Anolis sagrei: one gene and its partner. The protein of the gene in region 2 interacts with the protein of the main gene of each other region in a biochemical or structural test. Links are inferred from orthologs where the notes say so. Each region holds a gene or a part of one and is shown on either strand. Other genes may lie near its edges.

What was found. The genes of interacting proteins can lie anywhere in the genome.
Region 1: the proteins of AP1G1 (region 2) and SYNRG form a complex in vitro, tested with the Homo sapiens proteins (2 studies listed by BioGRID). The link is inferred for Anolis sagrei from reciprocal best matches to the Homo sapiens genes AP1G1 and SYNRG.

Annotation. Positions count from the first base shown.
Region 1 is NC_090031.1:24,068,102-24,075,113, reverse strand, and holds the start of SYNRG (synergin gamma), read left to right. Parts: upstream 1-3,903; 5' UTR 3,904-3,947; coding exon 3,948-4,054; intron 4,055-7,012. UniProt on the Homo sapiens protein: Plays a role in endocytosis and/or membrane trafficking at the trans-Golgi network (TGN). May act by linking the adapter protein complex AP-1 to other proteins. Component of clathrin-coated vesicles.
Region 2 is NC_090028.1:29,558,006-29,565,116, forward strand, and holds the start of AP1G1 (AP-1 complex subunit gamma-1), read left to right. Parts: upstream 1-4,098; 5' UTR 4,099-4,194; intron 4,195-7,111. UniProt on the Homo sapiens protein: Subunit of clathrin-associated adaptor protein complex 1 that plays a role in protein sorting in the late-Golgi/trans-Golgi network (TGN) and/or endosomes.

The sequences.
Region 1 (7,012 bases), on a different chromosome or scaffold from region 2:
CATTGTATTACAATTCTAACAGAGCAAAACAAACACACAGATTGAAAAGAAAAAGATTTTGCAAATTTGGTAGTTGGTTAAATGTCCTTTGACCAGTATCTGGCCACTTGGAGTGCCTCTGTGTCCTCCATCGTGCATGTGGCTGGGCTCAGGGTGCATTGCAGCAGGTGGTCAGTGGTTTGTTCTTCTCCGCACTCGCATGTTGTGGATTCCACTTTGTGGCCCCATTTCTGAAGATTGGCTCTGCATCTCGTGGTGCCAGAGCGCAGTCTGTTCAGGGCCTTCCAAGTCGCCCAGTCTTCTGTGTGCCCAGGGGGGAAGTCTATCATCTGGTATCACCCATGGATTGAGGTACTGGGTTTGGGCCTGCCACTTTTGGACTCTTGCTTGCTGGGGTGTTCCAGCGAGTGTCTCTGTAGATCTAAGAAAACTATGTCTTGATTTGAGTCGTTGACGTGCTGGATGATACCCAAACGGGGATGAGCTGGAGATGTCTCTGCCTTGGTCCTTTCACTATTGGCTGCTACTTCCCGGCGGATGTCAGGTGGTGCAATACCGGCTAAGCAGTGTAATTTCTCCTGTGGTGTGGGGCGCAGACACCCCGTGATAATGCGGCATGTCTCATTAAGAGCCACATCTACTGTTTTAGTGTGGTGAGATGTGTTCCACACTGGGCATGCGTACTCAGCAGCAGAGTAGCATAGCGCAAGGGCAGATGTCTTCACTGTGTCTGGTTGTGATCCCCAGGTTGTGCCAGTCAGCTTTCGTATGATGTTGTTTCTAGCGCCCACTTTTTGCTTGATGTTCAGGCAGTGCTTCTTGTAGGTCAGAGCACGGTCCAAAGTGACTCCCAGGTATTTGGGTGTGTTGCAATGCTCCAGTGGGATTCCTTCTCAGGTAATCCTCAGAGCTCGGGATGCTTGTCTGTTCTTAAGGTGAAAGGCGCATGTCTGTGTTTTAGATGGATTAGGGATCAGTTGGTTTTCCCTGTAATAGGCAGTAAGAGCACCTAGAGCTTCGGAGAGCTTCTGTTCTACCATCTCAAAGCTCCCTGCTTGAGCAGTAATGGCACGATCATCAGCATAGATGAAACTCTCTGTCCCTTCTGGCAGTGGCTGGTCATTTGTGTAGATGTTGAACATGGATGGAGCAAGCATGCTCCTCTGAGGCAGGCCGTTCTTCTCTTTCCGCCATCTGCTTCTCTGGCCCTGGGACTCAACAAAAAAGCTCCTGTTTTGTAGCAGGTTTCCTATGAGGCGGGTGAGGTGGTCGTCCTTTGTGATATTATACATTTTTCTCAAGAGGAGGCAATGGTTCACAGTATCATAGGCTGCTGACAGGTCTATGAAGACAGCTCCTGTGATCTGCTGCCTTTCAAAGCCATCTTCTATGTGCTGAGTCAGGTTCAGCACTTGCGATGTGCAGCTTTTGCCTTTTCTGAAGCCATCTTGCTGTGGAATCAGACAGGGGTCTATTTTTTCCGCAATTCTATGCAAAATAAGTCTCTCCAGAACTTTGTAGAGGTGGCACAACAGGGAGATTGGTCTGTAGCTTTTTGGGTCATTACGGTCTTTGCCTGGCTTCAAGATGGCGATGACTCTTGCTTTCCTCCAGATTTTGGGGATCTGACAGGATGCAGTGCAGTTGTTCATCAGCTCCAGCAGCCAGCGCCTTGCTTTTGGACCAAAGTTCTTGATTTGTTCCATCCGTAGATCATCCAGGCCAGCTGCTTTGCCATTCTTACATTTGTTGAGAGCCATGTCCAATTCTGTAGATGTAAAAGGTTCATGAAGGTTGTTGAAGGGGCAGAATATCAAGGAGGTGCAATTCCCTTGGTGGCCAGGTGATGGCAGAAAATGATTGCCCATTGCAGCTGGGGAGTCCTATTGGCTTTAATGAAGAGGCAGAATATCAAGGAGGATGCAATTCCCTCTGTGTATACAAATATGCATATGCACATTTATATATACATATATATGTAGGTGTATACATGTATGCATGTGTACATATACACATATACACACATATATGTAGGTGTATATATGCATATAGAGGTAGGTATATACATATATGCATGTGTACACACACATATATACACATATATGTAGGTATCCCTCGTAGACCGAGGATGACGGTCCTCCAAGTGTAGTATCCTGGCAGTGGGTCCGTAGGTGACTGTGGAGCCCTATTCTTGATCTGCATGTTCTCCCACTGTGAGGGCATCGGTTTCCAGGTGGAAAGCGGTCCCGGTCGGGGTTGGCTTGACGCGCCTTCCTCTTGGCACGTTTCTTTCTTTTGCCCTCAATTCGTGCCTCTTCAAATTCTGCAGCACTGCTGGTCACAGCTGACCTCCAACTGGAGTGCTCAAGGGCCAGGGCTTCCCAGTTCTCAGTGTCTATGCCAGAGTTTTGAAGGTTGGCTTTGAGCCCATCTTTCAATCTCTTTTCCTGTCCTCCAACATTCCGCTTTCCGTTCTTGAGTTCAGAACAGAAGGGATATATGCATATAAATGTAGGTGTATACATGTATGTAGGAACCTCCAGTGGCGCAGTAGGTTAAAGCGCTGAGCTGCTGAGCTTGTTGACCAAAAGGTCGCAGGTTCGAATCCTGGGAGCGGCATGATCTCCCGCTGTTAGCCCCAGCTTCTGCCAACCTAGCAGTTTGAAAACATGCAAATGTGAGTAGATCAATAGGTACCTCTCTGGCCTGGAAGGTAAGGGTGCTCCATGCAGTCATGCCAGCCACATGACCTTTGAGGCGTCTATGGACAACGCCGGCTCTTTGGCTTAGAAATGGAGATGAGCACCAGAGTCCCAGAGTTGGACACCATTGGACTTCATGTCAGGGGAAACCTTCACCTTTACTATACATATATGCATGTGTACATATACACACATATATACACATATATGTAGGTATATATACACATAGATGTAGGTCTATACATGTATGCATGTGTACATATACACAGATATAGGTAGGTGTAAATATATATATATGTAGGTGTATACATATATGCATGTGTACATATACACATATAAACGCACATATATGTAGGTGTCTATATACATATATATGTAGTTGTATACATATATGCATGTGTACATATACACATATATGTAGGTGTCTATATACATATATATGTAGGTGTATACATATATGCATGTGTACATATATACATATATGTAGGTATATATACACATACATGTAGGTCTATACATGTATGCATGTGTATATATACAGAGATATAGGTAGGTGTAAATATATATATATATATATGTGTAGGTGTATACATATATGCACGTGTACATATACACACATATACACATATATGTAGGTGTCTATATACATATATATGCAGGTGTATACATGTATGAATATGTACATGTATACATATATGCATGTGTACATATACACATATACTCAAATTTATGTAGGTGCATACATATATGCATGTGTACACGTACACACATATATGTAGGTATTTATATGTAGACATATACACATACGTAAATATATATGAAAACGCATATATGCAGGTGTGTGTATACGTGCATATACATATGTGCATATGTACATATCGTATCCTATCCGATTTGTCCTCTATCCACTCCTTTGAGCTTCATGCAAATCTACCATTTTTCCAAAATATAAGACCTAAACATACAGAAATGTAGAGATGAGTGAAATTAACCTGAGCGGCTGTCAGGCATTGTGGGAACTGAAGTCCAACACGCCTGCTCTCCAGGCTCTCTGTGGGGCTCTTCCTGGTTGTTCAAACTCCAACTCCCAGAATCCTTTGGCGCGCCGGCGAATGGCGAGGCCTGCCGGGAGCTGAAGTCCAAGGCGCCTGAGAGGCCAGGCTGCTTTCGCCCCGCCCCTTTTCCCCGCTTCCGCTCAGGAGGCGAGGAGGCCGGAAGTGAGCGCGCTGACAGGAGCCGGGCAAGATGGCGCTGCGGCCGGGCCTGGGGGCTGGGCCCGGCGCTCCCTCCGCCGCCTCTCCTCCGGCGCCGGGCGGACCGGGAGGAGGAGGAAGGAGCCCCGGCCCGGGCAGGTCAGCAGGCCCAGGCGGGCAGGAGGGAGGCGGGAAGGGAGAGGCTTTGAAGGGAGGAGGCCTTGAAGGGAGAAGGCATTAGATGGAGAAGGCCTTGAAGGGAAGGGAGAAGGCCTCAACAGGAGAAAGCCTTGGAGGGAGAAGGTCTTGAAGGGAGAAAGCCTTGGAGGGAGAGGCTTTGAAGGGAAGGGAGAAGGCCTCGAAAGAAGAAGGTCTTGGAGAGAAAAGGCCTCGGAAGGAGAAAGTCTTGGAGAAGGCCTTGAAGGGGAGAGGCTTTGGAGGGAGAGGGTCTCAAAGGGAGGAGGCCTCGATGGGAAGGGAGAATAATAATAATAATATCGAACTGCAAAGATTCTGGCACAAACCAGTCAAGGTGGTCCCAGTGGTGACTGTCACACTGAGTGCAGTGCCTAAAGACCTTGGCCTGCACTTAAACACAATCGGCACTGACAAAATTATCATCTCTCCGAACGTATTCTCCCCTACGAACCATCAAGATTATTAAGATCATCTGGAGAGGCCCTGCTCTCGGTCCCACCAGCCTCGCAAGCGCACCTGGTGGGGACGAGGGACAGGGCCTTCTCGGTGGTGGCCCCGCGACTCTGGAACTCTCTCCCTCTGGAGGCCAAAACCGCCCCATCCATCCTAACATTTAGGAAACGGGTGAAGACGTGGCTGTGGAGTCAGGCCTTTGAGGAATGAGACAACACCATAGGACCCTGGATGGAAGCTGATGTAGATCCATCTTAATAGGACGACTGACCACTGTAGTTTTATATATAGTGTTTTTAAAGTTGTTTTTGTAATTGTGATATATGATATTTTAATGAGTGTATATGTTTTTTATGGCTGGAAACCGGGCTGAGTCCCTCAATGAGGTTGAGAAGCTCGGTATAGAAAACTGTGAAATAAATAATAAATAAATCTGCCAGCTGCAGAAGGCTACCTTACTGGGATCTGCACGCATTACTTGCCAATACATCACACAGTCCGACGTGTGATCCAATACAACAGCCAGCAGAGTGTCTGCTGTGGACTCATCTTGTTGTGTTTCAAATAATAATCATAATCATATATATATATATATATTGTCATGTCAGGAGCAACCGTTCCTGTTGTGAGAGAATTGGACGTCTGCAAGGACGTTGCCCAGGGGACGCCTGGATGATTTGTGATACTTTATCATCCTTGTGGGAGGCTTCTCTCATGTCCCCACATGAGGAGCTGGAGCTAACAGAGGGAGCTCATCCGCTTCTCCCCGGATTCGAACCTGCGACCTGTCAGTCTTCAGTCCTGCCAGCACAGTGCTTTAACCCACTGCACCACCGGGGGCTCCTAATAATAAAACTTTATTTATACTCCGCCACCATCTCCCCAACGGGCTAACATGAGGCCAATCCCAAAGAATTACAACAAATCAAAACAAAATACATACAGCAATTAATAACATCAAATGAAATATAAACAAAACAACTTAATACAAAATCAACATTTATTTATTTATTTACCGCATTTATATGCCGCCCTTCTCACCCCAAAGGGGACTTAGAGCGGCTTACAAAATATATTTTCACACAATATATTATATTATTAGTATAGAACAATATCAGTATTATATATTACTATATTGCACTATACTGTTATATTGTATAATACACAAAAATGAAATAAGAAAACAAAAATGAGAAGGCCTCGAAGGGAGAAGGCCTTGGATAACCCAGAGGGTTCTTCTTCCCACTGCTTCTTCTTCATCCTGGAAAGAAGTGACAAGCAGAGTGCCACAAGCAGGGTTCCTTCCTGGGCCCAGTCCTGCTCAGGATCTTCATTCATGACTGAGATCCATGGTTCTCAAACTGTGGGTCTCCAGATGGCTGGGATTTCTGGGAATTGTAGGTCAAAACACCTAGGGACCCACAGGTTGAGAACCACTGACTTAGATGAAGGGTTAGAAGGCAGGATCATCGAGTTTGCAGATGACACCAAATTGGGAGAGATAGCCAATAATCCAGAAGACAGGAGCAGGATTCAAAACTATCTTAACAGATTAGAGAGATGAATGGCCAAAACTAACACAATTAAGTTCAACAGGGACAAATGTAAGATACTCCACTTAGGCAGGAAAGAAAGGAAATGCAGAGATACAGAATGGAGGACGAGGCCTGGCTCGACAGCAGGACCTGTGGAAAAGATCTTGGAGTCCTTGTGAGGAGGAAGGGGAACAGGAGCCAAGAACATGATGCAGTGGCAAAAAAGCCAATGGGATTTTGGTCTGCATCAATAGGAGTCTAGTGCCTTGATCCAGGGATGTCATGCTCCCCATGATCTATTCTGCCTTGGTTAGACCGCACGGGAATACTGTGTCCAATTCTGGGCACCACAATTGAAAGGAGATGTTGACAAGCTGGAATGTGTCCAGAGGAAAGCGACTAAAAGGACCAAGGGTCTGGAGAACAAGCCTTATGAGGAGCGGCTTAAAGAGCTGGGCATATTTAGCCTGCAGAAGAGAAAACTGAGAGGAGACGTGATAGCCATGTATAAATAAGTGAGAGGAAGTCATAGGGAGGAGGGAGCAAGCTTATTTTCTGCTGCCCTGGGGATTAGGATACAATGGCTTCAAACTACAAGAAAGTAGATTCCATCTGAACATGAGGAAGAACTTCCTGATTGTGAGAGCCGTTCAGCAGTGGAACTCTCTGCCCCGGAGTGTGGTGGAGGCTCCTTCTTTGGAGGATTTTAAACAGAGGCTGGGTGGCCATCTGTCAGGGATGCTTTGAATGCAATTTTCCTGCTTCTTGGCAGAATGGGGTTGGACTGGATGGCCCATGAGGTCTCTTCCAACTCTAGGATTCTATTATTCTAAGGCCTTGAAGGGAGAAGACCTTGAAGGGAAGGGAGAAGGCCTTTTCTTTAACTTTGGCTATAATTAATAAGAATGGTTTTCCTCCCCTCTTCCTTTAT
Region 2 (7,111 bases):
CCTTTGGGGTGATGGAGGCGGGTACAAAAATAAATTTATTATTATTATTACAACAGTCTCGCTTATCCGATGTTCCGTCTCATTCGACACTCTTATCCAATGCCCCCCCCCTTTCCTCCAGCATTTAACCTTCAATTGAAGGAGCGCTCACCAACTCTCTCCATTCCCAATAAGTGAAAAAAGTAAGACGAGGAGGAGGAGGTCCTCTAAATTTCATGCTCCTCTTCCGAATCCGGGCACTTCCTGCTTAGCCGCTCTATCCCTGAGGCATTGCCTTGCCTTAACCCTTTGAATCACCGTTGTTAGTATTCTAGATGTCTAATGGATGGCTAACAGTAGGAGATTCCATTATTATGCAACATTTTTGTTTATCCAACATTCTTCTGGCCTGTTTATGTCGAATAAGCGAGACTCTACTGTATTGTTGAAGTCTTTCATGGCTGGAATCTCTGGGTTGTTGTAGGTTTTTTGGGCTGTATGGCCATGATCTAGAAGCATTCTCTCCTGACGTTTCACCTGCATCTATGGCAGGTATCCTCAGAGGTTGTGAGGTCTGTTGGAAACTAGGGAAATTGGGGTATTATATCTGTGGAAAGGAACATGAAAGGCACTGCAGACTATTTCAACCAGAGAAGTCAGCTATAGCAGAGCACCTAATGAATCAACCTGGACATAGTATATTATTTGAGAACACAGAAATGCTGAGCACTTTAACAACTACCATGTCAAGTTACACAGAGAAGCCACTGAAATCCACAAGCATGTGATCAATTTCAACAGAAAGGAGGAACCATAAAAATGAACAAAATCTGGCTACCAGTATTTAAAAAATCAGGATAGTAAATAAAGAACAAAAATAAAAAAGAAACAATCAGGGACACTAATTGCCTCTCAACAAAGGATTCCCCCAGGCAGTAAGAAGCCAGACCTTGAAAACCACTAGGCCATTAAATGCTAATCAAGGTAGCCAATTGAAACATTAACACCCACTGCACCACTGGGGGCTCCAACTGAGCAGAAATTGGGAGTCCTGCAGCAAGCAGGGACCAGCGGAAGGCAGAAAAATCCCCCTTGGGAAGGCTGCTGAGTCTGAGACTGCTATCCTTTCAAGGGGTCCTGAGGATTCGCAAAATGCCTGGTGAGCTATTAAAGCCAGTAAGATTTTCCCTTTCCCCAAATAATTCTCACCAGGTTGAAGAAAGGCCACCAAAGTTTATTTCTATTCCAGTTGGAAAGGTTGGGGTTTCAATATCACAGATATAGTAAAGGTAAAGGTTTTCTCTTGACAGTAAGTCCAGGCGTGTCCGACTCTGGGGGTTGGTGGCCATCTCCATTTCTAAGTCGAAAGGCTGGCGTTGTCTGTAGACACCTCCAAGGTCATGTGGCTGGCATGACTGCAAGGAGCACCGTTACCTTCCTGCTGTAGTGGTACCTATTGATCACCTCACATTTGCATGTTTTCAAACTGTTAGGTTGGCAGAAGCTGGGGCTGACAGCAGAAGCTGTCGAATCCCCGGATTCGATCCTGCAACCTTTCGGTCAACAAGCTCAGCGCTTTAACCCACTGTGCCACTGGGAGTTCCTTATCTGTGTCACAGATTTAGAAACACACTTTTCCTAGTTTCCAACAGACCCCTCAACCTCTGAGGATTTTTTTTTATCATGTAAGAAGTGACTTGAGAAACTGCAAGTTGCTTCTGGTGTGAGAGAATTGACCATTTACAAGGACATTGCCCAGGGGACACCTGGATGTTTTGATTTTTTTTACCATCCTTGTGGGAGGCTTCTCGCATGAGGAGCTGGAGCTGATAGAGAGAGCTCATCCACGTTCTCTCTGGATTCGAACCTGCGACCTGTGGTTTAACCCACTGCGCCACCGGGGGCTCCTCTGAGGATGGCTGTCATAGATGCAGGCGAAACGTCAGGAGACCCGCCTACCTGCGTGACCGCATCTCCGCTTACAAACCCACACGCTCACTTCGTTCATCCGGAGAGGCCCTGCTCGCGATCCCACCTGCGTCGCAGGCGCGTTTGGTGGGGTCGAGGGACAAGGCCTTCTCTGTGGTTGCCCCCCGACTTTGGAACACCCTCCCCAAAGACATTAGACTTGCACCCACGTTGGCAGTCTTTAGGAAGAACTTGAAGACCTGGCTATTCCGATGTGCCTTTCCAGAATAGGATAACCTCCAGCACCTTGTCCCAGAAGCACTTTACTAGAGTTTAATACTCTCTGCACATTGCACTTGCCCAGAACTCCAACATACCACCTCTCACATCCAGCACCTTTTTTAACCTGAACCCTTCATTGGCCTGGCCCTGATTTTATTGTATAATAGTGTAATGTTTTGTTGTGTTATTGCTTATGTTTTAATTTGCTTGCATCGTTATTGTCTGTTGTTGTTATGTTGAGGCCTTGGCCTTTGTAAGCCGCATCGAGTCCTTCGGGAGATGCTAGCGGGGTACAAATAAAGTTTAATAATAATAATTAATAAAAATGCTTCTGGAACATGGCCATACAGCCAAAAAACCTAGAACAACCCAGAGACTGGACTGTATTATTATAATAACCAAACAACAAACAATCAATAGCGGAGAAAAGTGGGTATGTGCAGATTTGAGGGCGGAAGAGAACTAGAGTAAAGTTATTAGGTTCTTGTGGGGTTTTTCGGGCTATAGGGCCATGTTCTAGACGTTTCGCCTGCATTTATGGCAAGCATCCTCAGAGGTAGTGAGGTCTGTTGGAATTAGGACAAACGCACCAAACACAGCGCCCAAACACAAATCAAGGAACATGAAAGGCACTGCAGACTACTTCAACCAGAGAAGTCAGCCATAGCAGAGCACCTGATGAACCAGCCTGGACACAGCATATTATTTGAGTACACAGAAATGCTGGACCACACCAACAATCACCATGTCAGACTACACAGAGAAGCCATTGAAATCCACAAGCATGTGATCAATTTCAACAGAAAGGGAGACCATGAAAATGAACAAAATCTGGTTACCAGTATTAAAAAAACTCTAAAATTACAACAGCAAAACAGCAGAGAGGAAACAACCAGGCACATCTTAGCACCTCTCAACAAAAGGTTTTCCCAGGCTCAGCCAGGCCTTCAAATGCTAATGAAGGTGGTCAGCTGAAACATTCACACCTAGCCCTAGCAGAGAAGAGCTCTTTGCCCCACCCCAGCCATTCCACAGATATATAAACCCATTTTCCTATTTCCAGAAAAGTGGGTATGTGCAGATTTGAGGGCGGAACAGGACTAGAGTAAAGTTGTTGTTATTATTATTTGGAAGTAAACGAAAACAAATCCCTCAATTTTCTGGGGTTTTTTCCCCTCCCAGACCTCCCCTCTCCTTCTCCCTCTCTCACCCGCCTTCCTCCTCTTCTTGTCCGCCCCCGGAGCCGCCGCCTCCTCCGTCTCCTTCTCCCCCGCTTGGCTCGGCCCCACCGCGGCCAGGCTCCTCCATCCCGCCGCCTCCTCCTCCTCCTCCTCTTGGGCCTGGGCCCGCCCTCGGCCTCTCCTCGGCGCGCCGGAAGTGCCGCGGGCGTGACGTCGCAAGAGCGCGCGGGGTAGAGAAAGAGAGCATAGCCAGGCCTTTAGTGATGACGCGTCGGTGGTTGCCAAGGCGACGGCGGAGGAAGCCGTCCCCGCCCCAATAGGAGCGATGGCGAGGGAGGGAGGGAGCCGAGGAGGGAACCAAAGAACTCCAGCTCCGCCCCTTGACCTGAGAAGAGGCCCCGAGCCCTTCTCCTTGGGACACAAAGCCGTTCTCGGAGGAACTGACGGGCGGAGGGAGAGAGGGAAGGAGGGAGAGGCGCAGCGGTGACTCGGCAAGCGCGTGACGTCATCAGTGCCTGCCACGCACGGCCTCTCACCCTTCACCCCGGATGCCTCCGCGGAGGGAAATAGTCCCTCGGTAATCTGCTGCTAGAGGACGCCTCGCTTATTAGTCAGGGAAGGGGAGGAAGGGAGGCCGCGGCGGGGCTTCTCCGGAAGGGGAACGAGTAAGGAAAGAAGGAAAGACGGGCCAGAGAGAGGTAGAGAGAGAGCCTGAGTGAGATCCGGCACGGTATCCTTCCGCCTGCGGGAGCGGTGCTGAGGCCGCGCCGCCGCCATTTTGGATGCCAGGCTGCTGGTTCTACCGCCGCTGCCGCCGCCGCCTTTGCCGCCGGGACCCGGCCCGGTGAGTGAGCGAGGGAGCCGGGGAGGGAGCCGGGGCCCGGAGGAGGCAGGAAGGGGAGGACCCGCCAGGAAGGAAGGAAGGGAGGGAGGGGAACACTGGGCCCTGCCCGGCCCTGCCTGGCCGGGTCGGAGTTGGGCCTCACCGTCAGGTCCCTTGCTGCAGGGAACTCTTCTCCCCTCCACTGTCTTCCCTCCCTCGCGCCCTCCTGGCTGAGAAGGCCTTCCTCTTGAAGGCAGAAAGCTGTCAAAGCCAATCCTGGTCATTTTTTATATACAAGCCGTCCCCGGGTTGCAAACACCTGACTTACAAACGTGTCCTAGGTCAAACGAAGCTCAGACAACAGGAAGTGGGAGGAACCCACTCCATTATATTAGTTCTATCTGTCATATAGTAGTCCCAGAGTTGCAAATGACTCCTAGTTCAAAACCTGGCTGAGACAACAGGAAGTAAAAGGAATCTTCCCCTCAGAAGGAAGGGAAATCCACTCCCGGAAGAGTCATCATCAGGGGGAAAGACTGGGTGGCCTTTGGGGGTTCCTTCCAAATTTATGATACTAGTTCTATCTGTCATATGGTAGTCCCAGAGTTGCAAACATCCGACTCACGAATGACTCCTAGTTAAAAACCTGGCCGAGACAACAGGAAGTGAGAGGAATCGGAAGGAAGGGAAATCCACTCCCGGAAGAGTCATTGTCAGGGGGAAAGACTGGGTGGTCTTTGGGGGTCCCTTCCAAATTTAGAATACTAGTTCTATCTGTCATATGGTAGTCCCTGAGTTACAAACATCTGACTTAAATGACTCCTGGTTAAAAATCTGGATGAGACAACAGGAAGTGAGAGGAATCGGAAGGAAGGGAAATCCACTCTCGGAAGAGTAATCATCAGGGGGAAAGACTTTGGGAGTCCCTTCCAAATTTATGATACTAGTTCTATCTGTCATATGGTAGTCCTAGAGTTGCAAACATCCGACTTACAAATGACTCCTAGTTAAAAACCTGGCTGAGACAACAAGAAGTGAGAGGAATCTTCCCCTCGGAAGGAAGGGAAATACACTCCCGGAAGAGTCATCATCAGGGGGAAGACTGGGTGGTCTTTGGGGGTCCCTTCCAAATTTATGATACTAGTTCTATCTGTCATATGGTAATCCCTGAGTTACAAACATCTGACTTAAATGACTCCTGGTTAAAAACCTGGCTGAGACAACAGGAAGTGAGAGGAATCGGAAGGGAAATCCACTCTCGGAAGAGTCATCATCAGGGGGAAAGACTGGGTGGTCTTTGGGGGTCCCTTCCAAATTTATGATACTAGTTCTATCTGTCATATGGTAGTCCCTGAGTTGCAAACATCTGACTTACAAATGACTGCTAGTTAAAAACCTGGCTGAGACAACAAGAAGTGAGAGCAATCTTCCCCTCGGAAGGAAGGGAAATCCACTCCCGGAAGAGTTATTGTCAGGGGGAAAGACTGGGTGGTCTCTGGGGGTCCCTTCCAAATTTATGATACTAGTTCTATCTGTCATATGGTAGTCCCTGAGTTACAAACATCTGACTTACAAATGACTCCTAGTTCAAAACAGGGCTGAGACAACAGGAAGTGAGAGGAATCTTCCCCTCGGAAGGAAGGGAAATCCACTCTCGGAAGAGTCATTGTCAGGGGGAAAGACTGGGTGGCCTTTGGGGGCCCCTTCCAAATTTATGATACTAGTTCTATCTGTCATATGGTAATCCCTGAGTTGCAAACATCCGACTTACAAATAACTCCTAGTTAAAAGCCTGGCTGAGACAACAAGAGCAATCTTCCCCTCGGAAAGAAGGGAAATTTACTCTTGGAAGAGTCAGGGGGAAAGACTGGGTGGCCTTTGGGGGTCCCTTCCAAATTTATGGTACTAGTTCTATCTGTCATATGGTAGTCCCTGAGTTACAAACATCCGACTTACAAATGACTCCTCGTTAAAAACGCGACTGAGACAACAAGATGTGAGAGCAATCTTTCCATTGGAAGAAAGGGAAATCCACTCTCGGAAGAGTCATCATCAGGGGGAAATACTGGGTGGTCTTTGGGGATCCCTTCTAAATTTATGATACTAGTTCTATCATAAATCACACACATGCACCTACAGGTAGTCCCTGAGTTTAAAACATCTGACTTACAAATGACTCCTAGTTAAAAACGAGGCTGAGACAACAGGAAGTGAGAGGAATCTTCCTCTCGGAAGGAAGGAAAATCCTCTCCTGGAAGAGTCATCATCAGGGGGAAAGACTGGGTGGTCTTTGGAGGTCCCTTCCAAATTTATGATACTAGTTCTATCTGTCATATGGTAGTCCCTGAGTTACAAACATCTGGCTTACTAATGACTCCTAGTTAAAAAAACCTGGCTGAGACAACAGGAAGTGAGAGGAATCTTCCTCTCGGAAGGAAGGGAAATCCACTCTCGGAAGATTCATCGTCAGGGGGAAAGACTGGGTGGCCTTTAGGGGTCCCTTCCAAATTTATGATACTAGTTCTATCTGTCATATGTGTGTATCACACACATGCACCTACAGGTAGTCCCTGAGTTTAAAACATCTGACTTACAAATGACTCCTAGTTAAAAACGGGGCTGAGACAACAGGAAGTGAGAGGAATCTTCCTCTCGGAAGGAAGGGAAATCCACTCTCGGAAGAGTCATTGTCAGACTGGATGGCCTTTGGTGTCCCTTCCAAAATTGTGATACTGTATCTATCTCCCATGTATATGTGTGTGTGTCAGGCATGGGTAAACTTTGGCCCTCCAGGTGTTTTGGACTTCAACTCCCACAATTCCTAACAGCCACTGTCAGGAATTGTGGGAGTTGAAGTCCAAAACACCCAGAGAGCCAAAGTTTACCCATGTCTGTACACACACACACATACAGGTAGTCCCTGAGTTACAAACATCCA